3 linked regions of the Lonchura striata genome follow. The protein of the gene in region 2 interacts with the protein of the main gene of each other region in a pairwise test. Links are inferred from orthologs where the notes say so. Each region holds a gene or a part of one and is shown on either strand. Other genes may lie near its edges.

What was found.
Region 1: the proteins of RAB2A (region 2) and TBC1D25 interact in binary tests that used the Homo sapiens proteins (3 or more experiments, as listed by UniProt). The link is inferred for Lonchura striata from reciprocal best matches to the Homo sapiens genes RAB2A and TBC1D25.
Region 3: the proteins of RAB2A (region 2) and FAM114A1 interact in binary tests that used the Homo sapiens proteins (3 or more experiments, as listed by UniProt). The two-hybrid records come from large-scale screens. The link is inferred for Lonchura striata from reciprocal best matches to the Homo sapiens genes RAB2A and FAM114A1.

What each region holds. Positions count from the first base shown.
Region 1 is NC_134638.1:1,573,865-1,581,646, reverse strand, and holds the start of TBC1D25 (TBC1 domain family member 25), read left to right. Parts: upstream 1-4,750; coding exon 4,751-4,837; intron 4,838-5,133; coding exon 5,134-5,243; intron 5,244-5,323; coding exon 5,324-5,475; intron 5,476-7,359; coding exon 7,360-7,481; intron 7,482-7,782. Other genes in the region: GRIP1-associated protein 1, read left to right, coding at 1,396-1,508, 1,794-1,928, 2,568-2,661, 3,381-3,511, 4,013-4,084. UniProt on the Homo sapiens protein: Acts as a GTPase-activating protein specific for RAB33B. Involved in the regulation of autophagosome maturation, the process in which autophagosomes fuse with endosomes and lysosomes.
Region 2 is NC_134603.1:37,405,596-37,413,520, forward strand, and holds the start of RAB2A (ras-related protein Rab-2A), read right to left. Parts: upstream 3,028-7,925; 5' UTR 2,706-3,027; coding exon 2,660-2,705; intron 1-2,659.
Region 3 is NC_134606.1:22,666,026-22,673,924, forward strand, and holds the start of FAM114A1 (protein NOXP20), read left to right. Parts: upstream 1-4,804; 5' UTR 4,805-4,817; coding exon 4,818-4,911; intron 4,912-5,485; exon of another isoform or gene 5,486-5,553; intron 5,554-7,899. Other genes in the region: toll-like receptor 1, read right to left, coding at 1-840. UniProt on the Homo sapiens protein: May play a role in neuronal cell development.

The sequences.
Region 1 (7,782 bases), on a different chromosome or scaffold from region 2:
TACCTCAGAATTTGGCGGGGGGGGATTTAAATCTAAAATCCCTAAAATTTGGGATGGCAACCCTAAAATGGGGGAGAGGGGAACTTCGGAATTTGGGGAGGTGGGAACTCAGAAATTTGGGGAGTGGTGACCCCCAAAATTTTGAGGGTGGGAGAAGCCTCAGGGAGGGGGGGAAACCCCAAAATTGAGGAGTGGGAGCCCCAAAATTTGGGGAGGGGGGAACCCGTAAATTCGTGGGAGGGGGTAACCCCAAAATTTGGGGAGGGGTAGCACCAACATTTGGAGGAGAACTCTAAAATTTGGGGAGGGGGAGCCCCAGAATGGGACCCTGATGGATTTTGGGGTCCCTGATGGGATTTTGGGGGTTCCCAGGTATATTTTGGGGTCCCTGAAGGATTTTGGGGTCCCTGATGGGATTTTGGGGTCCCTGATGGATTTTTGGGGTCCCTGTTGGGATTTTGGGGGTCCCTGATGGGATTTTGGGGTCCCTGATGGATTTTGGGGTCCCTGATGGGATTTTTGGGGTCCCTGATGAATTTTGAGGGTCCCTGATGGATTTTGGGGGTCCCTGATGGGTTTTGGGGTCCCTGATGGATTTTGGGGGTTCCCAGGTATATTTTGGGGTCCCTGATGGATTTTGGGGGTCCCTGATGGGTTTTGGGGTCCCTGATGGGTTTTTGGGGTCCCTGATGGGATTTTGGGGTCCCTGATGGGATTTTGGGGGTTCCCAGGTATATTTTGGGGTCCCTGTTGGGTTTTTTGGGGGTTCCCAGGTATATTTTGGGGTCCCTGATGGATTTTGGGGGGTCCCTGATGGATTTTGGGGTCCCTGATGGGATTTTGGGGTCCCTGATGGGATTTTGGGGTCCCTGATGGGATTTTGGGGTCCCTGGTGGGATTTTGGGGGTCCCTGATGGATTTGGGGTCCCTGTTGGGATTTTTGGGGTCCCTGATGGGATTTTGGGGGTCCCTGATGGATTTTGGGGTCCCTGTTGAGATTTTGGGGTCCCTGATGGATTTTGGGGGTTCCCAGGTATATTTTGGGGTCCCTGATGGGATTTTGGGGTCCCTGATGGATTTTGGGGGTCCCTGGTGGGATTTTGGGGGTCCCTGATGGGATTTTTGGGGTCCCTGGTGGATTTTTGGGGGTCCCTGGTGGGATTTTGGGGGTCCCTGATGGATTTTGGGGTCCCTGACGGATTTTGGGGGTTCCCAGGTATATTTTGGGGTCCCTGATGGATTTTGGGGGTTCCCAGGTATATTTTGGGGTCCCTGATGGATTTTGGGGTCCCTGATGGATTTTGGGGGTCCCTGATGGGATTTTTGGGGTCCCTGATGGATTTTGGGGTCCCTGATGGATTTTGGGGGTCCCTGATGGGTTTTGGGGTCCCCCAGGGCTGGAGGAGCTGGGATTGGACGGCGGCTCGTCCCCGGGGCGGGGCCCGGGCGGGGACAGCAGCTCCGTGTCCTCATTGGGCCGCGACGGCTCCGCCCCCGGCAGCACCAAGGTGGGCGGGGCCGAACGGGTTAAAGGGGCGGGGCCTGGCTGGGCGTGGCTCCGGTGGGCGTGCCCTTGGTGGGGCTCCGGTGGGCGGGGCTCCGGTGGGGCTTTGGTGGGCGTGGCTCCTGTGGGCGTGGCCTTTGTGGGCGTGGCCTTGTTGGGGCTCCGGTGGGCGTGGCCTTGGCGGGGCTCCGGTGGGCGTGGCCTTGGTGGGCGTGGCTCCGGTGGGCGTGGCTCCGGTGGGCGTGGCTCCGGTGGGCGTGGCCTGACGGCCCGGCCCCGCCCCGCGCAGTCGGGCTCGGGCAGCCCCGGGGGCGGCAGCGCCGGGGGGGTCCCGGCCGGGGGGGGCCTGTCCCCGGCAGAGGTGGCCGAGCTGTTCCAGAGGCTGGCCCAGAGCCAGCAGGAGCGCTGGCTGCTGGAGGAGAAGGTACTGGGAGCACTGGGAGCGACTGGGAACGGGTCGGGAGCGAGCTGGGGGGGACTGGGAGGGACTGGGGGGACTGGGAGGGACTGGGGAGGAACTGGGAATGGGTTGGGAGCGAACTGGGAGCGAGCTGGGAGGGACTGGGGGGACTGGGAGGGACTGGGAGGGAACTGGGGGAATCTGGGAAGAACTGGGAGGGAACTGGGAGAGACTGGGAGGAACTGGGAAGGACTGGGGGAAACTGGGAGGGACTGGGAAGGACAGGGAGGGAACTGGGAGGGACTGGAAAGGATTGGGAGGAATTGGGAAGGACTCAGAGGGAACTGGAATGGACTGGGGGGACTGGGATGGGACTTGGGGGAACTGGGAGTGACTGGGAAGGACTGGGAGGAACCTGGGGGGACTGGGGGGGACTGGCAGGGACTGGGAGGGAACTGCAGGGGCACTGGGAGGGAACTGGGAAGGACTGGGAAGGGACTGGGAGGGACTGGGAGGGACTGGGAAGGACTGGGAGGAACTGGGAGGGACTGGGAGGGACTGGAAGCGACTGGGAGGAACTGGGAGGGACTGGGAGGAACTGGGAGGGACTGGGAGGAACTGGGAGGGACCTGGGGCACCGCTCACCTGGAGCTGCCGGGGCAGGTGAGGCACCTGGAGGTGTCGAGCGCGTCCATGGCCGAGGATCTGTGCAGGAAAAGCGCCATCATCCAGAGCTTCGTCAGGGACAGCCGCACAGGTGAGGGCACCCGGGCTCACCTGGTGGCACCTGGGCCTCAGGTGGACCTCACCTGTCCCAGCTGTCACTGTAGCCTCACCTGTCCCAGCTGTTCCACTGCTGTCACCTGTGCTGCACGGCCCTCCCTCACCTGTACCCTCACCTGTGCTGCATGGCCCTCCCTCACCTGTACCCTCACCTGTGCTGCACGGCCCTCCCTCACCTGTACCCTCACTTGGCACTGCAGCCAGCCGTCAGCTCACCTGTCCCTTCCTCAGCTGTCCCCATCCGTCTGATGGTTCTTACCTGTGCCAGTGTCACCTGTGCCCTGACCTGGCCCAGTCTCACCTGTCCCAGTCTCACCTGTCCCCACCTGTCCCAGTCTCACCTGTCCCTCTCACCTGTCCCAGTCTCACCTGTCCCCCTCACCTGTCCCCCTCACCTGTCCCAGTCTCACCTATCCCAGTCTCACCTGTCCCCCTCACCTATCCCAGTCTCACCTGTCCCCTCTCACCTGTCCATCTCACCTGTCTTTCTCACCTGTCCCAGTCTCACCTGTCCCTCTCACCTGTCCCAGTCTCCCTTGTCCCTCTCACCTGTCCCTCTCACCTGTCCCATCTCACCTGTCCCCCTCACCTGTCCCATCTCACCTGTCCCATCTCACCTGTCCCCCTCACCTGTCCCAGTCTCACCTGTCCCAGTGTCACCTGTCCCTCTCACCTGTCCCCACCTGCCCGCAGAGGCGGCGGGGCCGGCGCGGCGCGGGGCGGGGGCGGGGCCGGGCCCCGGTGAGGAGGGGCTGCGGGAGATGAACAAGAAGCTGCAGAACCTCCTGGAGGAGCAGCTGACCAAGAACCTGCACCTGGCACAGGTGAGGGGGCGGGGCCCGAAGGGGCGGGGCTTGTGAGAAAGGGGCGTGGCTTGAGAGAAAAGGGGCGTGGCTTGTGAGAAAGGGGCGTGGCTTGTGAGAAAGGGGCGGGGTTGTGAGAAAAGGGGTGCGGTTTGTGAGAAAAGGGGCGGGGCTTGCGAGAAAGGGGCGTGGCTTGTGAGAAAGGGGCGGGGGTTGTGAGGAAAGGGGTGTGGCTTGTGAGAAAGGGGCGTGGCTCCCAAAAGCCCATCGTTTGTGGAGATGGGCGTGGTCTGTGGAAAGGGGTGTGGCTAAACGGGGTGTGGCTCATCGGGGGCGTGGTTTAAACGTGGGGGTGTGGCATAAGCGATGACATCACCGAGTTTACCGACGTGAAAGGGCGGGGCTTAAAGTGGAGGCGGGGCTTTCGGCGGTGGGCGTGGCCAGGACAGGGCGTGGCCGCTCTGGGGGCGTGGCCTCGCGCAGTGGGCGTGGCCTGTTCCCATCCTCATTCCCCTTTTCCAGGACCTGGAGTCGCTGTCCCAGGAGCTGGCGCAGCTCAGGAAGGAACAGGCGACCCCCTCGGGACCCCCCTGAGGGGCGGGGCCTCGCCTGGTGGGCGGGGCCTCGCCCCCGCAGGCTCCGCCCCCCGGCCGGGGCGCTGCTGCGGGGGAGGCGTTGCCCCTTTAAGGCCGTGCTGGGCCCCGCCGGCATTGCCCCTTTAAGGCGGGACGGTTCTTTACATGGCGTTGCCCCTTTAAGGGTGGGGTGGGGGTGTTTCCCGGGTGGGCGTTGCCCCTTTAAGAGCTGGGTCGGTCCCCGCCGCGGCGTTGCCGCTTTAAGGAGGAGGTGGTCCCCACTGTGGCATTGCCCGTTTAAGGGGGGTCCCGCATGCGCCCCCCCCTCTCCCCCCCAATAAACCCGATGTGAATCGCTGCCTCTGACGTCATTTTGCTGCCTTGGGAAAGGGCGGGAGGGCTCGGTGACGTCATTTAAGAGCCTCCCTGCCGAGCCCGCCCCGTGACGTCACTTCCGCGCGCTGCCCCGGATGTTGTTGCCGCGGCCGCGGCCGCAGGACGGGCACGGGCGCGCCGCGGCTCCGGATCCCCCCGCCCCAGCCCCGCGCACCGGCCCGCCGGGGGGCGCGGCGTGACGTCAGCACGGTGACCTAACACCAGCCCCCCCGCTTCCCCGGCTCGGGGGGCGGCGGCGGCGGCGAAACCCCCCAAGAACCCCCAACCCCCCCCCGGGACCCGCCCCGACATGGCGGCGGCGCCGGGGGGCGGGGCCTCGCCGGGGGGCGGGGCCGCGCTGGAGGAGGAGTGCGAGGTAGTGCGCGTGCGCGTCAAGGTAAGGGGCGGGGCCGCGCGTGGGCGGGGCCGCGGGTGGGCGGGGCCGCTCGTGGGCGTGGTTACGCCCCGGGTGTGGTTGGAGGGGGCGGAGCCAATCAGCTCGTGGGGGCGTCGTCGCCTGCGCGCGTGGCACGGGCGGGAAGTTTTCCCGCCTCTGGCGTCACGTGGGGGCCTAGCGGCCAATCAGCGCGCGGCGTCGCCGCGGGGACGGGGCTGCGCCGCCATGTTGGGTCGCCGTGAGGGGCCGGGGGGCTCCGGGACCCTCCGGGACCCTCCGGGACCCTCCTCCCGCAGAAGAACGAGGGGCAGCAGCCGCCCGAGTTCCGCTCGTTCGCCGTGGACCCGCAGATCACGTCGCTGGATGTGCTGCAGCACATCCTGGCGCGGGCGTTCGACCTGCAGGGGTGAGCGGGGCTCCCCTTGTACCCTTTTTGTAGCTGGGCCCGCCCAGAGCAGCCGGCTGAGCCCCGCTGTGCCCCCTCAGGAAGAAAAGCTTCGTCCTGAGCTTCGCGGCGCACAACGGGCAGGGCCAGGACACCTTCGTGCCGCTGCTCAGCGACGGCGACCTGGCCAACGCCTTCAGCTGCGCCCGGCCCGCGCTGAGGCTGCGCCTGGACGTCAGGAACGGCCCCGAGAGTGAGCGGCGCAGCGGGACAGAGCCGGGACAGCCGGGATAGAGCCGGGACAGCTGGGACAGAGCTGGGACAGAGCTGGGACAGAGCTGGGATAGAGCTGGGACAGAGCTGGGACAGAGCCGGGACAGAGCCGGGACACACCTGGGACAGAGCTGGGACAGAGCTGGGACAGCCGGGACAGAGCTGGGACACACCTGGGATAGAGCTGGGATAGAGCTGGGACAGAGCTGGGATAGAGCTGGGACAGAGCTGGGACAGAGCTGGGACAGAGCCGGGACAGAGCCGGGACAGCTGGGATAGAGCTGGGACAGCTGGGACAGAGCTGGGATAGAGCTGGGACAGAGCTGGGACAGAGCTGGGATAGAGCCGGGACAGCTGGGATAGAGCCGGGATAGAGCTGGGATAGAGCTGGGACAGAGCTGGGACAGCTGGGATAGAGCTGGGATAGAGCTGGGATAGAGCTGGGACAGAGCTGGGACAGCAGGGACAGAGCTGGGACAGAGCTGGGACACACCTGGGACAGAGCTGGGATAGAGCCGGGACAGCAGGGACAGAGCTGGGACAGAGCTGGGACAGCAGGGACAGAGCTGGGACAGAGCTGGGACACACCTGGGACAGAGCTGGGACAGAGCTGGGACAGAGCTGGGACAGAGCTGGGACAGAGCTGGGATAGAGCTGGGACAGAGCTGGGATAGAGCCGGGACAGCAGGGACAGAGCTGGGACAGAGCTGGGACAGCAGGGACAGAGCTGGGACAGCAGGGACAGAGCCGGGACACACCTGGGACAGAGCTGGGACAGAGCTGGGACAGCCGGGACAGAGCTGGGACAGCTGGGATAGAGCTGGGACAGAGCTGGGACAGAGCTGGGACAGAGCTGGGATAGAGCTGGGACAGAGCTGGGATAGAGCCGGGATAGAGCTGGGACAGAGCTGGGACAGAGCCGGGACAGCCGGGATAGAGCCGGGATAGAGCCGGGACAGAGCTGGGACAGCTGGGATAGAGCCGGGATAGAGCCGGGATAGAGCCGGGACAGAGCTGGGATAGAGCTGGGATAGAGCTGGGACAGAGCTGGGACAGAGCCGGGATAGAGCCGGGATAGAGCCGGGACAGAGCTGGGATAGAGCTGGGATAGAGCTGGGACAGAGCTGGGACAGAGCCGGGACAGAGCCGGGACAGAGCCGGGACAGAGCCGGGATAGAGCTGGGATAGAGCTGGGACAGAGCAGGGACAGCCGGGACAGAGCTGGGACAGAGCCGGGACAGAGCTGGGACAGAGCTGGGACAGAGCTGGGACAGCAGGGACAGAGCTGGGACAGAGCTGGGTGGGGGGAGACACACCTGGGACACACCTGGGGGTGCACCTGGGATATACCTGGAGGGGGGAGATACACCTGGGGGAGGGGAGACACTCCTGGGATACACCTGGGATATACCTGGGATACACCTGGGTGGGGGAGAGACACCTGGGACACACCTGGGTGGGGGAGACATACCTGGGTGGGAGGACACACACCTTCAACACACCTGGGTGGGGGGAGACACACCTGGGACACATCTGAGACACCCCCAGACACACCTGAGACACACTTAGGTGGGAGAAATCACCTGGGACACGCCTGTGGTACACCTGGGACAGACCTGGTTGGTGGGGACACACCTGGAATACACCTGAGATACACCTGGGGTAGTCACAGACTTGGCTGGACACACCTGGGCGGGGCAGGACACACCTGGGGACGCACACCTGGAGGCCTGGGCTGGGTGTCAGGAGGTGCTGGCTACCTGGGGGAGCCCGGGGGGCTCAGGTGTGTGAGGCGGGGCTCAGGTGTGCAAGGTGGGGCTTGGGGGGGTCTCAGGTACCTGTGGCTCAGGTGTGCTGTCCCCAGGCCCGCTGCTGGAGGACTGGGACATCATCAGCCCGCGGGAGGTGGCGGCGGCCGAGCCGGTGCCCGAGCGCCGCTCGCTGCTGGCGGCGGCCCTGCCCTTCACCCAGGCGCTGCTGGCACAGGTGAGCGCACCTGGCACAGGTGAGGCACACCTAGCACAGGAGTACACCTGGTGCAGGTGAGGCACACCTAGCACAGGAGGACACCTGGCACAGGAGCACACCTGGCACAGGTGAGGCACACCTAGCACAGGAGTACACCTGGCACAGGTGAGGCACACCTAGCACAGGAGCACACCTGGCACAGGTGAGGCACTCCTGGCACAGGAGCACTCCTGGCACAGGTGAGGCACTCCTGGCACAGGAGCACACCTGGCACAGGTGAGGCACACCTAGCACAGGAGCACACCTGGTGCAGGTGAGG
Region 2 (7,925 bases):
GTTCCAATTATACAGAAAACCATTTTTATATATTAAAAAATACAGTTAAGAACCAGATTAGAAGCAATCCCATGTTCATAAAGCTACCATGCCTAAAGTATCAAAAAAGAAAAGTCAGTGAATGCCAATGACCAATGAAACAGGGAATACAAAGGGACAAGAACTGCTGAGCACAAGGCAGTCTTGCACAGTCAGCCTCTGGCTGTCATTTTAAGAGACTGAGATGATCCTGAATTCCTGTGTTTAAGCAGATGAAAGCATATGGAATCAACTCAGAGAAGGCACATACAGGTGTCTTGTGTAACTCCAGGGAGGTTTCATTGGTTTGCTTATGGATCACACAACTTTGTTTTTTAGTGCTGAAAGAGGAGCTAAATGTTAACATCAGTCCTCAGCTGAGTCTCTTAGTTTTCTCCTACAGTTTGTTTACAACTAACTGCTGAGTCACCAGGCAGCTGAGGCATTTCCAAAGACTCTAAATCAAATACCAGAAACAAATTTCTCGACTGCTATGAAATCTACATGGTCTGCAAGGCCAGTGGCATATCTTCACTGGCTAGAAAACTGTGGACACCACCATGGGAACTGAAGAGGACAGTCATGATCCACTTTTAATTTCCACTGTCAGAACTTTGAGTTCAATTGCCTTCATCTGAGGAAGAGCATTAATACCTAGACTACCACCACCATCTTGGCAACTGTGCACAACATAACTTGGCTCTTGAGTACTACCTCTATTAGAACACTTAAAAGGCTCACAGGAGATCTAAAAGCAAAACCAACTTACCACTATTGACATATTCAATTCACTTCAAGAATAATGATTGCAGTAGTTTTAATTAGTTTCCTGTAGCAACTCAAGAACACAAGAATTTAAAAAAATTACTAACCAAAAAGCCAACAGCAAATTTGTGAGCTGTTTTCCTCTCTGTGTTTCCTTTCTCTTACTATTCTGATATTTGGTTCTTAAGCAGCTGCAACAACTGCAGAAATGACACATCCATTCTGTATTTCACATTTCAAGCAACTCCTCAAATTCAGGAGTGCAGCACAGACCATTACACTGAGGATGTTTCTTTGTAAAAATTTAATCAGTATACAATCAATGTACCAAAGCAACTGTAAGCTGCTGTCTACCACTTTAATGACTACAGTTTTTAGAGATGCCCCAGAACTGGCCACATGCTCTGAGACACTGCCGTTCTGAACTGTGCACTACTGTCTTGCATCACACCAGCCTGACAAACCTCTTCTTACTTCTCCTGAATTTGCACGGGTAATATCCTGTCCTGGTCTGATGAACTGTCACTCAAGTAAACACTCAACAAAAATCAGAATTATCATCTACAGCCTAAGGTTTCCAACATGGTCATTACAACTGCGATGTATTTCTAATAATTAACTTGTACTACAGCTGCTGCTGCAGAACCTAAAAAGGCTTTCAGAGTTTAAATACACATTTAAAAAGCAGATAAAAGTCACATAGTAGTTGCACCCACTCTATTTAACAACCTCATGTGTAATGCAACTACAAGGTATAATTATATTCCACCAACAGATAATTTGGTTCATAGGTATGAAGTACAATTATGAAGGCATCCCTCAGAATAGCACCTAAAAAACCAGGTGTGTCATCAAACTTATTAAAGAAGGCATTTAGACAGGTATGAGGAAAACAGCAAGGAAAACACACAATACACAGGCACAATGGTTAACTAAGTCAGCTACCTTGCCCTGACAACAGTTTGATTGAAGTATGCTACTTCCATCCATGCTAGGTGGAAGAAGCATAAAATGTATTAGCAAAGGGTCTTCAAGCAGCAACTCCTACCAGCATATGGCTATGCCAACAGCATTTGTAAGCATTATTACTTATCACGCAGCAGCCAGTTACAAATGGAATGGAGTAAGTTTTTGAGAAATGTTCAACGCTAGGTCGGATGGAGCCTTAAGCAAGGTGGTCTAATGGGAGGTGTCCCTGCCCACAGCAGGGGGGGTTTGTGACTAGATCATCTCTAAGCCCCAGTCTAACCCCTTGACAGTCTATGATTCAGTATGTTTTTAAGAAGTAACAAGAAACATCTGGAAAAGCAGTGGTGTGTGTACATACATACACATAAAAAAAGAAGTCCCTTTAAATTAGACTGGAAGAGCCAGGGCTTTTAATTCTTCTTTGACAGCGTGTCTTCACACAGTTTGTTACAGAGCTCCAGCCCAGACTGGAAAGAGCATCCTTGCAGCCTGAGCTGAAGGTAACTCGCAGCAATGAGACAGAAACTCATCACAAAACTGCGAGGACGAGTGTGGCCTCGCTACCACAAGGCTGCAAACCACGGGCACTACCCAGATCTAAGTTTCGTTGTGACAGCGCCTTCCTCCTCTCCGCCGGCCCGCTCTGCTGCCGCAGCCGGGGCCGTGACACAGCCGGCGCTGCCCCGCGGCCCGCCAGCCGGGCCCGGAGGCGGCTGCCAGCGGCCCAAGGCCGTGGGAGACAAGGCCGAGGCCGCGGGCGGGGCCCGGCGCAGAGGCGGGGGGAGACGCCGCCTCTTCCTCGCGCGGAGCCACCACGTCGGCGGCACTGCCAACACTGCGGAAATGGGCGCGGGGAGCCGGGCCTTCCTCCCCGCCTCCCGCCCCGCTCCGGCGCGGGCTCACCCACCTGTGTCTCCGATGATGATGTACTTGAAGAGGTACGCGTAGGCCATGGCCGCTCCCGGGCTGCCGCTCCCGGGCTGTCCCGCTTTCGCTCCGGCGTGACGCTCGCGCTCGCCGCCCGGGCTCGCGCTGCGGAGAGGCGGAAACGGCTAACGGCCCCCGGGCGGCGCCTCGCCCGCTCGCTCCCTCCTACCTCCGCCCCCGCGCCGCCGCTGGCGGAGGGGCTCTGCTCGCTCGGGCCTGCTGTCCGCCCTCCCTCGCTCCCTCCCGCCGCGGCCCCGCAGGCGCCGGGAAAGCCAGAACGCGGCGGCGGCGGCGAGAACAATAAACAGGCGCCGAGCGGCCCGCGGACCCTCCGGCGACGTCAGCGCCCGCCCCCTGACGCCGCCCCGCCTCCGACCCGGAAATGCTGAGGCGCGAGGCCGCTCCCGCCGCGCGCGGGGCGGAGCCTCGGCCCCCGCCCCGCGGGACTGAGGGCGGCGGCGGCTGCGGTGCGGCGCCGCGCGGAGCTGCCGTCCCTGAATCCCGAATCCATCCCGCCGGGAAAGATCTCTGGGGTCATCGCGGCCACCCGTGACCAAACACCACCATGTCAACTAGACCGGGGTGCTGAGTGCCACATCTAGTCTTTCCAGGGACGGTGACTGCACCAAGTCCCTTGGCAGCCCACGTCAATGTCTAAGCACCCTTTCCCTGAAAGAGTTCTTCCTCATCTCCAGCCTAAATCTCCCCTGTCACAGTTTGAGAGTATGTTCTCTCATACTGTCGCTGGTCGCCTGGGAGAAGCAGCCGACCCTCACCTGGTTGTAACCTCCTTTCAGGGAGTTGTAAAGAGTGATGTCACCCCTGAGCCTCTTTTTGTCCAAGCTAAACCCCAGCTCCCTTGGCCGCTCCTCACGGGATTGGTAGTCCAGACTCGTCCTTCCTTGGACTAGCTCCAGCACCTCAATGTCCTTTATAAATCGAGATGGCCCAAAGCATAAACCCTCTGAGAATAGCCAGCAACGAGCTGTTTGGTACGAGTTTATCTTCATCCCATGAGTGAGTTCTGGCTTGGAAGGGTTTTTTCCCTTTCTGTTTCTGTCTTTCCTCACTGAACTGAAAGCAACGAACTAGGGGAGTAACCTAAATTCACAACTGGTGTTTAGGACTTAGAGTTCACACGGGATTGGTGAGCTGGAAGAGGCTTCAAGGTCTTCCGTAGTCTCAGCTGCTTCATGAAGTGTCCGGTGTACCCTGGCCTTTGGACATAAAACAGTCAAAGGCAGCTTGGCTGACATATCACATCCACACTGAGGCTACAACAGATGCCTGGCAAGGGTAAATGTGGTAGGGCACTCCAGTCAGATCATACTGACAATGTTTTGGGATTTCCTTCAGCTCAGCTGTGTGGGCTGGTGGTACTGTTCAAGAGTCATTGGCACATTCTTCATACAAACTGACATTTTACTCCCCTTCTGGCTGTCTGGTAGAATGTGAGTAAAAGGTGTCTGTCTTTTAACTTTATAGAGGTTTTTATTTGTGGTTAACAGCTTGGACAACATTGACCTACATGGCTTCTAAAAGGTGTGCCTCTGACTTACTTGTAAAAACCTTCAATAAAGCTGATTGTGCCAAATCCTGCTGTCATATTTCATGACCTGAAACACAAAATTAAGTTGTTGGTTTTTTTTAATTCCTGTCTACTGTGGATGTGCAAATGCCCCCCTGCCAAACAACACCAGGAAGTGGAAGGAGCTCCTTTATATATTATAAACATATCTACCTTTTCCAAATGAAAAATTCTGACTGCTTGTCAGATGTTTGCCTACTATTTTTTTTCCTCCTCTGGACTTCTAATTTTCCCAACACTGTTTATTAAGTGTAGAGCCCAAAACAGCAGTTCTCACATGTCTCTAACCAGCCTCATCACCTCAAAACTAGTAAACGAGTATCTCCAGTCTTGCCCCTCTCTGAACGTGGGTTTTTTTTTTAATCTACAACATCTGAATTTAATTTTTGATACCAGATCCCTATTCTAGATAGTTACTACTCAAGTGTATCCATACATTTGGTATGTCTTTATTAGCACTGTTTTTTCCCTTGCTAAATTTCAATAGTTTAGCAAAAATATTTGAATTTTTTTTCTTTTTATATTATCTCTGCCATTTTGTTACCCAGACCATTCATGACAATATTGAATAGGTCTTGCATGGACAGGACAGAACATCGAGAAAGTGGCATGTGAAATTTTCTCATAGTTTGAAAACCTCTCCATGCTGAAAAGAGCCATTTCTCTATTATTTTATTTGCAAGTAGTTTCAATACACATTTTTGTTAATAAACAATTCCTAGCCAGAATGAATTTTTTCAGAGAAGCAGGTTTTTGCCTTGCTTCCTATGAAAGTTAGGCTTCTGTTTTCACATATCCCTGTGCGTCTCTCTTTCTTGCCCTAATAATGATCATGAAATCTGGCATCTGGCAATGGAGCAGGGTACCTCAGCTGAAGGAAAGGCTGCAGTTGGGGTCAGCTGTCAAACCCAATCAAAAATTCACACTAAAACATGTCTTCTCAAGTGCTTCCTCAGCAGCTAAGCCCTTCAGCTGGCATTCAAGCTGTTGGCATGGGTTTGTGTGACCTCAACCACTGGAGACAAAGCTGTAGGAGATCAGGCCATAAGCAGATAAGATCTCATCCTGTATAAGTAAAGGTTGCTGCTTCTAGGGATGGGGCAGCTCTGTTCCTCATAATCTCCCTTGTTCTGGCACTGTCAGAGTCATCTGCTGAATAGGAGAAGTGGCTAAGCTTTCATTTTTCCATATTAGCTTTCAGGAAAAATCATCTTGGGTCCCTCAGCCACACCAACAAACTAAATAACCTCATCAGTTGGATCCCCTCTCTGCCCAGCCATCACTGCTCCCAAAAGATCCTGTGGTTGTGAGGGCTAAAGTTTACTCTATGCGATCAGTCATACAGACAGGTATCAACTCTCAGGATGAGCTCTCTCCTGTAGCTGCCTCCCCTGTGACTGGCAGGATGAAGTAGAACTGTGTGAGATTTTGTGTCCTTCACCTTCCCTTCAGAGCTCTGTTTTTGTTCATGACAAAGTCTCCATTAGTACTGTTGGGGATTCCTACATAATTGAGCCCCAAAAGGTATTACTCTGAGGGTTGGTCAAGTCTTGGCAATCTGTCCTCAACATCAAACATGAGTTCAAATGTGTTTGATGGTGACAGACTTTTTAATAGGGACTGTAGCAATAGGATAAGGGATAATGGTTTTAAACTAAGAGAAGGCAGATTTAGACTAGACATGTGGAAGAAATTTTTTTTAGCATGAGATTGTTGCTTGTTGCAGAGGTTTGGGCTCAATGGTCTTTGAAGGTTCTTTCCAGCCCAAACTATTTTATCATTGTATGAGTGCATGATTCTATGATTCTGTTTACCTCGCTAATGGGATTTGGTCTCATAGTTCCCAAATTTTGCCATCTGCCAGACTTCTAGACAAGCCAGATTGGCCTGATGCAATTGAATGAGATCTAGTAAGAAAAGGGAATTCTGTTTTGTAGAACTGAGATTTGCTGATGGGGAGAAAATACAGACAGTGCAGAATGCCCAGTGAGATGGAAGGTGCTTTAACATCACGGCTGAACTGACAGTTGACAGGTGGGTCAGTTCAGAGGGAAGGCAGCTCTACCTGTTTGTGCTTTGGCAGCCTGGTGAGCCAGCCAGTAACCAGCTTGCAGGTGACTCACATGGCAGGGCAGTGCCCCACTGGCTTCAGTGGCTGTCAGCTTGGGCCAACAGCTGTACCATGGACAGATAACCTGGCCTCTGCTGGTTGGCCAGGCAGCCAAGCTGCTCTGTGGAGTACTTCAGTCATTTGTGCTGGTTAGGGATAGTTGGGATAGTTATTGCATCAGTGTTAGGGATAGTTTTTGAATCAGTGTTTGGTAGAGGCTTGCAAGGATAATGTGCAAGAATTTGTTGCTTATGCTATCACATGGTAAGTACAAGCTAATTTGCTGCTGGAGAAGAGACTGTTCCTAACTTACTGAATGTTATCTGCTTTTCTACAAATCTGAGATGCCTCCAACTAGAGATTAATATAAAATTGATTTTTCTCCAAGTTATGTGTACCATATATCATGTTAAGTACTAATAAGAGGTATGCAAATAGCTACTGTAATAATTTTAATTTTTTTTACTTCTCACCTGCTAAATTTACTTTTTTCAGAGAAATTAATATCTTCTTTTGTTAAGCATTAATACTTGATAGAAGGCTTCAATGTAATCAGACTCACTTATTAAAAAAAATATTAGCCAGTTGATAAAAAAGAAGCATTGGTAATTCAGTATTGAAGAAATGCAGAGGATTGTTTTTCTTTACTTTTTTTCTTGTTAATATTATCATGACTGCTCATCTGTAATGATTTTACATCATGTGATGAAATATTTCACTATGATGACTGTGTCAGGATAATATTCTGGTAAATATGGGAAAGTTTCTGGATACATTTTGGAAAACTGTAACTTGCTGGGGTTTTTTGTGTCACTTATTTTTTTCCTGAATTTTCCACTTAGTAAACTCACTTGGGGTTTATAGAAAAGCCTTAGGCTTTGCAGGATCCTTACCACTAAAAGTACTATTTAGGAAAGAGGCTTGGAGTCATCCAAGGCTCGACATACTCTCCAGAGCAAAGTAATAGACTGGAATTTTTCAATGGAAATTAAAACACAAAAACAGAACTCTGGCATAATATTTGAATACAATCACTTTAATTATATTTTGTACAGTTGTATCATTTAACTGTTAGAAGTAAATCTCTACCTCCACTTCAGTCTAGCTTAAATTTTTTAAATAATTCAGTTGTATGGTTAAATTTTCTATACAGATGCTGAGTAGGAAATGTTATTTTCTGGTGCCTGTCATTTAACTTGTCTGCATTTACTTTTTCTGAACATTAGGTGTATGCTATAATTTTTCTTATTTGTGAATTTTAAGATTAGATTTGTATAATACTTAAGAAACAAGTCAATATGCAGTATATTTTATTTATTATAAATTTTGAGAATGGGACCCCACTTCATATGGAAATAAGTATAGAGAGCAGATCCTGCAAGAAGACAAATAAAGCTAAATCTCAATAAAGATCTGCCTTTGTAAAGATAATTTTAAAATACATGTTAAGCCTGTAAAGGTGAACTGGGGACAACTTCTGAGTTGAGTAGTTAGAAATGTCTGTGAGTGATGTGTGGCTTGGGTTTTGCAGGTCCTAGATCAGGCAGC
Region 3 (7,899 bases), on a different chromosome or scaffold from region 2:
CTGGCACTGCACGTCAGCTCCATCGTGGCGCAGCAGGTTGTTGCTCATGTCCAGGTATTTCAGTGATTTCATACGGCTGGTCATGGAGCTTACTTTGCGAAGGCTCTCGAATTTATTCTTCTGCAAGATTAATATCTCCAGCTGATGTAGGTTGTCACATTTTTGAAAAAGAAAATCTGTTAAATCATTCTTTAAAAAATTTAGGTATCTAAAGGGACTCTTAGATGAAGGACAAAGCATATGAATCATCTCAGAATCAGCTATTGTCATGTCTTCAATATTCATGTCTGCAAATATTTTGTATAGGTCATCCTGTGTGAAGTACATGTCCGTGATTATAATTTTCTTCATTGTCAGTGCTTTCATAGAAGTACCTGAATAGTCAAAGTCATAACTTTCAATGTCTGACAGTTGTGTTACATTGTTAGTATTGAAGTATTCAATGGACGAGTGCCATACAGTCTGAAAAATTTCCATAAGAGCATTCCAATCCACTGACACATTTGTCAGTGTCAGATTTTGTAACCTGGATCCTTGTGTGAAATTAGATAATAAAGCTATCAATTTTTTTACATTGTCATTTGTGATTTCTGACAATGACAGACTTTCTGTAGTATTTTGTATCACAACCCAATCAAAATCAGCTTTGGACTGATTACTGTTTGTATACAGGAGTGGCAGGCTCTTGATTTTTTGTTTAGAATCATCTTCTGGAAAATTGTTAGAAACAGATGTAAAGAGTTCATCTTCCACAGACAGGCTGATGTGGCTCCAAAAACTTAATGCAAACAGACACTTGTAAAGAAAACCGTTTCTAAAAAAGCTTGTATTCTGTGTCATACTGTTTTCTGTTTCCTTGAAGACGCTCAATACTTTTCTTAACTGTCCATCTTTGTTCTAATCCTGCAGAAAACAAAGAAACACAAGCAAAAACCAGATTGTATTAAGTAGCTGTGCAGGAACCATCAGAAAGAGAGATTCTGAGAGATTCTTTTAAGGTTCCAATTTCTCACTCTGTTTGATTCAAAAAGCAATGATTTTCTACAATCATTCAGAAGAGTCATTCATTATTAACAGATTACTGAATTTTTTATTTGGCAACTATGGTGTATTTATCAAATAATGAGTCAGTTTTTAACAAAATATGTCTGATTTCATATGTGTCTAAAATTTGCTGCTTAGTTACAGCATTACTGCTGTGATACAGTGTATTATGAAGGCTTCCTAAATTGTGTAATACACTTTGATTAGAAAGTACAATAACTGGTGTCAACACGTCATCGTCTACTCAGATTCTCCCTTAAATGATGTGAACTGGGCTCAGAGACATTATTTAAAAATGTACTTTTGACAGCAACCCTTAGACTGAAACATAGAATGAAGGTTCAAGAGACATTCCTCAAAAGTTGAATGTTTTTAGATAGCTGAGACTGGATCATCAGTGCTTCTTGTAACTGGGGAAATGGGGGTGAGGGTAGAATGATCTATATTTATGCCTTGGGGAAGTCCACAGAAGGGTTCACTTTTTGTCTGAGCTTAAGCATTTCCTGAATTTAGACTCTGAAATTGGGGTGCTCACATCTCACTTGACATGTGTACAAAGAGAACACCAGACACATGCTGGCAATATTTGCAGGCTACACAAAAATATATCAGTTGCAGAACCTCTCTACACAAAATCCAGCCCTGATTTAAGGACACTGACCTCAAACATCTCTGTTGTGTGAGAGGTTTATTCAAACAGACTTTAAAGGGGAAAATGATAACTGTGTCTTTGCTTTGGTTTTCCCTATTAGAGGTAACTTTTTCTTTCTGAATGTAGCAGTTTAGGATAGCCAGCCTCCCTTTGTTTAAGTCAGCCATTGAGAATACTGTCTTAAATCTCCTTTTAGGTATTGCATAAATCCATTAGACTTCCCATCTAAAAGAGGAACTGGCAAGAACTTGGTTTTAACACTTTTAAATGTGTAAATATTATTTAAAGTTGTTTTCCAGATTTCTAATGTCTTTTTATTTCCTCTTCTTTCTCTTTCCCTCCCATTAATTTTAAATCATATTGTTGCCCAAAATTTCCCATAGTATTTATTAATGACTGCACAGGCCTTCAACTTTCACTTGATATTGAAGAGGTTAAATTCTGAGTTTATATATTTCTAATGACTCTAGAATGAGACAGTAGCTATCACCTGACAGACTGATTTAGAACTTCAAAGACTACATTCACTGCACCATTAACCATTCCACAAGCTTTCTCAGAACTACTGGGGCAAAATACATGTTCTACTTGATCTAACAAAAAGAAAAAAAAAAAAGTACACTGAGTTCTTTTTTAAAGAATGCATGAAACTAAGCTTGGAAATCATCTAGAAAAAGCAGGGTAATATGGCAAAACTTTTCCAGCCTTTTTCCAAATTCTCATTTGGAAAAATTATATGCATCACAGCCCTCAAAATGCACTTGGGTATATTCAATCCTGTTCTTCTGATTGTTTGGGCAACTCTACTAATGTGTTTATAAATTTATGTGCTTAAAATATGTAGCTTCAAGAGAAAGCTGAAAAAAAAAATTTACCTTTAAATCATTATTCCTTCTTTGGATAAAATTTCAGCAATATCCATGGACTAGATGAAAAAAGGATAGGAGTCTTCTACATGTGTTTTATTTTCTTTCTATTTCATATATCCTAGCATTCAGTCAAATTATTTATGAGTACCTTAAAAATTTCTTTAGAATATCATAGGAAGCAACACAAGTAAAAAGCTTTTATAACATATAACCTGTGATTTGGAGACTAATACTGTAGAAATTATCCTTCACAGTCATATCACATTTAATTCAGAAGCATCCTCATGTCTTCAAACGTGATAAAAAAAGCTTAATCAAGAAAACAATCCAGGAGGGTAGGCAAGCAAAGAGCATAGTAGGAAAGTGCCCTGTTGTTTATAGAGAAAGGGGAGAGAAAAAAAATGAGGTTTTAAGAGTTTTGCCAATATGAAACTGGTATAAACTGACTAAACTTCCATATAAGAAATATACAGAATACTTTTAGCTAAGACAGTTCAGTATTAAGACATGCACTTCACAAGATACCAACATAGCAAAAACCTCTGATGTTACAAACATGCCTTCAACAAGGATGAAACACATGATCAGGTTAGACCCAGTTCCTGAACTGGAGAAAAACTACTGTCATCACTCTGCCTCACTTAATTATGGGTGTAGTGCTAATAAAAAGAGACTGCTACTTGGACAGTTTTTTGGAGAAATATTCTGAACACAAGCAACTTCACCATCATTGCTTACCCATACACTTAAAAGAACATCGTACACATGCTGTGGAATACAAGGCACATTTTAAAATAAGATACAGAAGATAAAACAATTCCAGCTAACTAGCAACAGCAAAAGTCAACAAAATTAAAACTTTCTCACCAGAAATCCCTGCTGTCCGAAAAAGCAGAAAGTGTTCTCAGGAAAACAAAAAAAAAGAAAAACTTCCTGTAACTTTATCCTATTGAGTAACAATACTTAGGAACACCCAAATTTTTACATACCGGTTTGTGCCATCTACTGACAGCTTGTGAAATGGCATTTGCTTTTCTCCAGATATATTTTTCACATACATTACTGTAATATCCCCCTATTCTATTATTATTGAACTTTGTGGCTTTATGCTTTGCAATATATTAAACAAGAGAAAAATGAATATTTTTACCAACTTTATACCTTCATTAAATTAAGATGAAAATAAGTACTTCTTTTGAATAAGAAATTCAAACACCTTCCTATCTGAATTTAATCATGATCTAAGTCTCTATGCATTATGTTAATTTTTCATCCATTTAGCTATACCAATTTAGTTGTCAGACTCTTATCAAGGCTGGTTTATAAAAGTACCATTTGTCTTAGTTTAATTTCCATTTAATGGGAATGGAATAATAATCCCTCTCCTGCTCCAGCAGTGTTGTTATTGGGTTAAACAGTGAACATGGATACATTGAGAGGGGTTTGTTTTGGTTTTTTTGTTTTGGTTTTTTTGTTTGTTTGGGTTTTTTGTTTTGGTTTTGTTTTGTTTTTTTGGTTGTTTTTTTTTTTTTTAATTAAAACAGAGCTGTGACTTTGGTACTGAATGGCCAAACACAGGGCTACTGTCCTGGCAAAGACATAAACCAGTCTCTCTTCATTTCTTGATAATATTGGTTAGAAATTCCACCATAGCTGAGACCTAAATACAGAACTGCCACACTGTAACTTACCTTTCTGGGTTAGCATATTAATGATTTAATGATTCATATTCATGATCTAATATTTCATTATATTAATAATATACATTCATTATTTAATATTTCAATTATTCAGGCAGCAGAGGAAATAATCTAAAAAATTACTTTTTTGCTTTGAGGCTTATTCTGTATATTAAATATAATTTCTCGGCCTCAAGTGAAAAGAAGTCATCCAAAAATGAAATTGAAAGATAGGACAGGTAGTAAGTAACTGAGATACTTCAGAGATTTATGCCTGGTAAAGTCACATAGCATGATCGGTATTTGTAAAACACCCTTCTGACAGCTGTTGTGACCGCTTGGAGTAGCTCTTCTCAGTGGCTCACAGTGTGCCGGTTTGCCTTCTATGTCAAAACTTCTCTCGTTGGCAGACTAGTGATAGAAATGCTGCTATATTGTCTTTCACCATGCTTTGCCTTAAGACAGCAAAAAAGAGGAACGGGTATGAGGAACTACACGGAAACAAGAACCACGGCTACTGGGAACAGCCTGAAAGCCCTTTGCTCAACCAAGTGTTTCACCGACTGACTGGAAATGCGTGCGGGGAGCGCCGGCTCCTGCCAGGGCATCTCCGGTACACACAGCGGTATCGAAAAGCTGCATCTCCGTTCAATTCCGCAACCCCACGGTCAGTAAGTGCTCACTTTGAGGAAGGATCAGACTTTCTTAAAAAAAAAAAAAAAAAATAATGCCAGCTCAGCAACTAGATTAATTTGGACTTTTTCTCTCATTGGATGGCTGAGCACTGAACCGGCTTCCCAGCGAAGCAGCCACAGCACTAAGCTTGTCCAAGAAACGTTTGGAGACGACGCTCTCAGGCACGTGGCGTGATTCCTGGGATGGCCTGCACAGGGCCAGGAGTTGGACCCGTTGATCCCGACAGGTCCCTTCCAGCTCAGCATATTCTATGACTCTATGAACTTGCCCCTTTCCGCCCCAGCACGGCCGCAGGGGCGCCGCGGCCCTGAGGGAAGCCGGCCCGGCGCTCCCGGCGGGGTCCCCGCGCCGAGAGCCCTGAGGGGCGGGCATGGCGGCCGGGCCGGACAAGCCTGAGCCCGGCACGGCTCGGCAGCGGCGCGGCGCTGCCCCTGCAGCAGGCGGGCGCCTCACGCAGCCGGAAGGAGAGCGAGGGACAAAAGCCAGCCCTCCCTCCTCCCTGGGCCGGCCCGGGCTGCCGGGCCCGCTCTGCCTCCTCCCCCCGCTGCTGCCGACGTGGCGGGGCGGGGAAGGGAAGGAGCCGGGGCCGCGCCGGTCGGGGCACTGCTGAGTGGTAAGGAGCACGGCGATTTCTGCATTTTCTGCCGCTTTTGACATTGGCTACGCCACACAGCTCTGTCCCAGAGGGGAACTTCGAAAAGGGGAAAAAAGAAAAGGAGAAGCGGGAAGTTGCGGCCGCTGCGGGCTCGGGGGAGCGGCGCCCCGGCTGCTCGTGCCGCGCGTGGGGCAGAGGGCAGCGGGGCAGGGCGAGCTGCCGGCGCCGGGCGCCGCGGGAGCCTCGCCTGCGCCCGCCGTGCCCGCGGAGGAGAAGCGGCAGCGGGCGTCGAGCGAGAGGGGAACAAGGTGCTGTCGCCAAAAAAGTGATTCCTCCTTTCCGCGCGGGGACGGCGATTCGTGCCCGAAGGCGCCCGGCGGCAGCGGGGCTTTGCTTTCTAGGGGAGATGAAACTCCTCAGCGCGGCAGGTGCCGCCACCGCCGGGCCCCTCAGCGCGGCTGCTCCGTGCGGGCCGGGCTGGCCTTAGCATCTCCCTCACGAGCTCCCCGTAGAGTAATTCCCTTTGGGCGGAGCCGTCCGAGTTGATTTGGATCAGGACAGTCTCAGGGATGAAAGGTTGAATGGCGCTGACCCCGGGTGCAGCTCGTGTGGTCTGACAGAGGCGGTGATTTGCTGTTACCTGCCGTGCTCTGGAAGGAAGGTTCAGCAGGCAGCTGCAGGGAGCGTGGCCTGAGTGGTACCCAAAGATGACTGCAAAAACTTTTTTGCAGTACTTCAAAAATCCATGTGCGCATTTGTGTGATCCTTTAAAAAGTGCTGGGCTTACTCAGAGCTAATGCCCATTCAAAATTATGAAGTATGTGTCTAAAGGTTTTACAGGTTTTAATAGAGAATTCCCATACCTCATGATGGAATTTGATTTACAGATAGAAGAATTTTCCTTAGGTGATGCTGCCATTCACACAGTGCGTACTGTTAAAACAATAGCAATACTTCCCTACAAGAAAGCATTTTATAATATTTGCTGCATTTTAAATGAAAAACTGTCAAATGCAAAGATTCTGACTTCAGAATTCAAGTTTTTTGAAGATAATTAAGGTACAGTGTAAGCTGAAGTAATAGAAGTGCTTACTTTTTTACTTATGTTTCTTGTTCACTGATCCGAAGTGCTACTCTTGGAACTCTTTAAACAAGTGATCTACATTCACATTAGATGAACAGGCTCCTAAAGCTATAGATATATACAGTTCTATAGACTTTAATAAAATATACTAATTAAATACATGCTTCTCAGGCAGATTTCTCCTAAATCCCAGTTATGTTTTCTTTTTGCCTTTTTTTCCCCCTGTTCTTTAGTCTCTCATAGAATCCCCATTCTTCCTGACAGATCAAACCTTTGAGCCATGTTTAATTAATATGAGAGTCAATGAGAGAGCAGCATCAACAGAGAGAACTGTACAAGTCTTTATGCCATGCAACTCAACATTTTGCAAGCTCTCTGTCAAGGATTGTTTCCTGAGTGCCAAGTATACTGTTGTTACCAAAAAATAAGTGTTACTAATCACAGACCAGCAGTTCTTTTGGACTCTGGCAGTGCAACTCCTTAATCAGCTGCAGAGCTTGCTGTATGGCTTTATCTTTGCCCATCAGCATCCTTAGCCTGATGACTGTACAATTGTGGAAAATACCTCCAAAATTACATTGGAAGACAAGGAAGAAATAAGAGAAAACTGGTTCATAACTTACAAACTTATCTTGGTTTCAAAATTGAAGTTAAATCACACAGTTGGAGTTTTAGGAGATGGTGAGAAGTGATGCATTCCCCAAAGAGCAAGACTTTGGGACAAGTGATACAGAAACAGTGTGAGCAATGACTATGCTATGGCTGTGTCTATGAAATGGCTCTAGGGGCCCATGGCCTATCATGTTCACAGATTGTGCCCCTTCTCAAGCACATGAATGTCACCACAGTTTTAGGTACAGAGAGTTATCCTCCCCTCTATTAGCAGGATGTAGGAACCTGTGTTTGTCTCAGTGATGAAAGGGAAAGCAAGAGCTGCTTGGTTATTGCAGCTTGGATTATTTTGTTCTGCAATGGTCTTTCATACACACCTGATAGCGAATATTGACATTAACCATGTGGAAACTCCTACATTTGACTTCTCCAGAAAAATTAATATCCTTTCACTCTCACTGAACCATATTTTGGAAAACAGTAATGCTGCTCTTTGTATTTGAGTGGGATCCAGCAGAGTGAATGGAGTATTTACAGTATTATTTTGATACCAGTGCCAGCATGAGGCATGTGCCACAGGGCTCCATGCTTTAGGAGGTCTTAGACCAAGGCTGTATTGTTTTTCAGCAGTAGCATATGGTAAACACTGTGTATTTTATAATAAACAT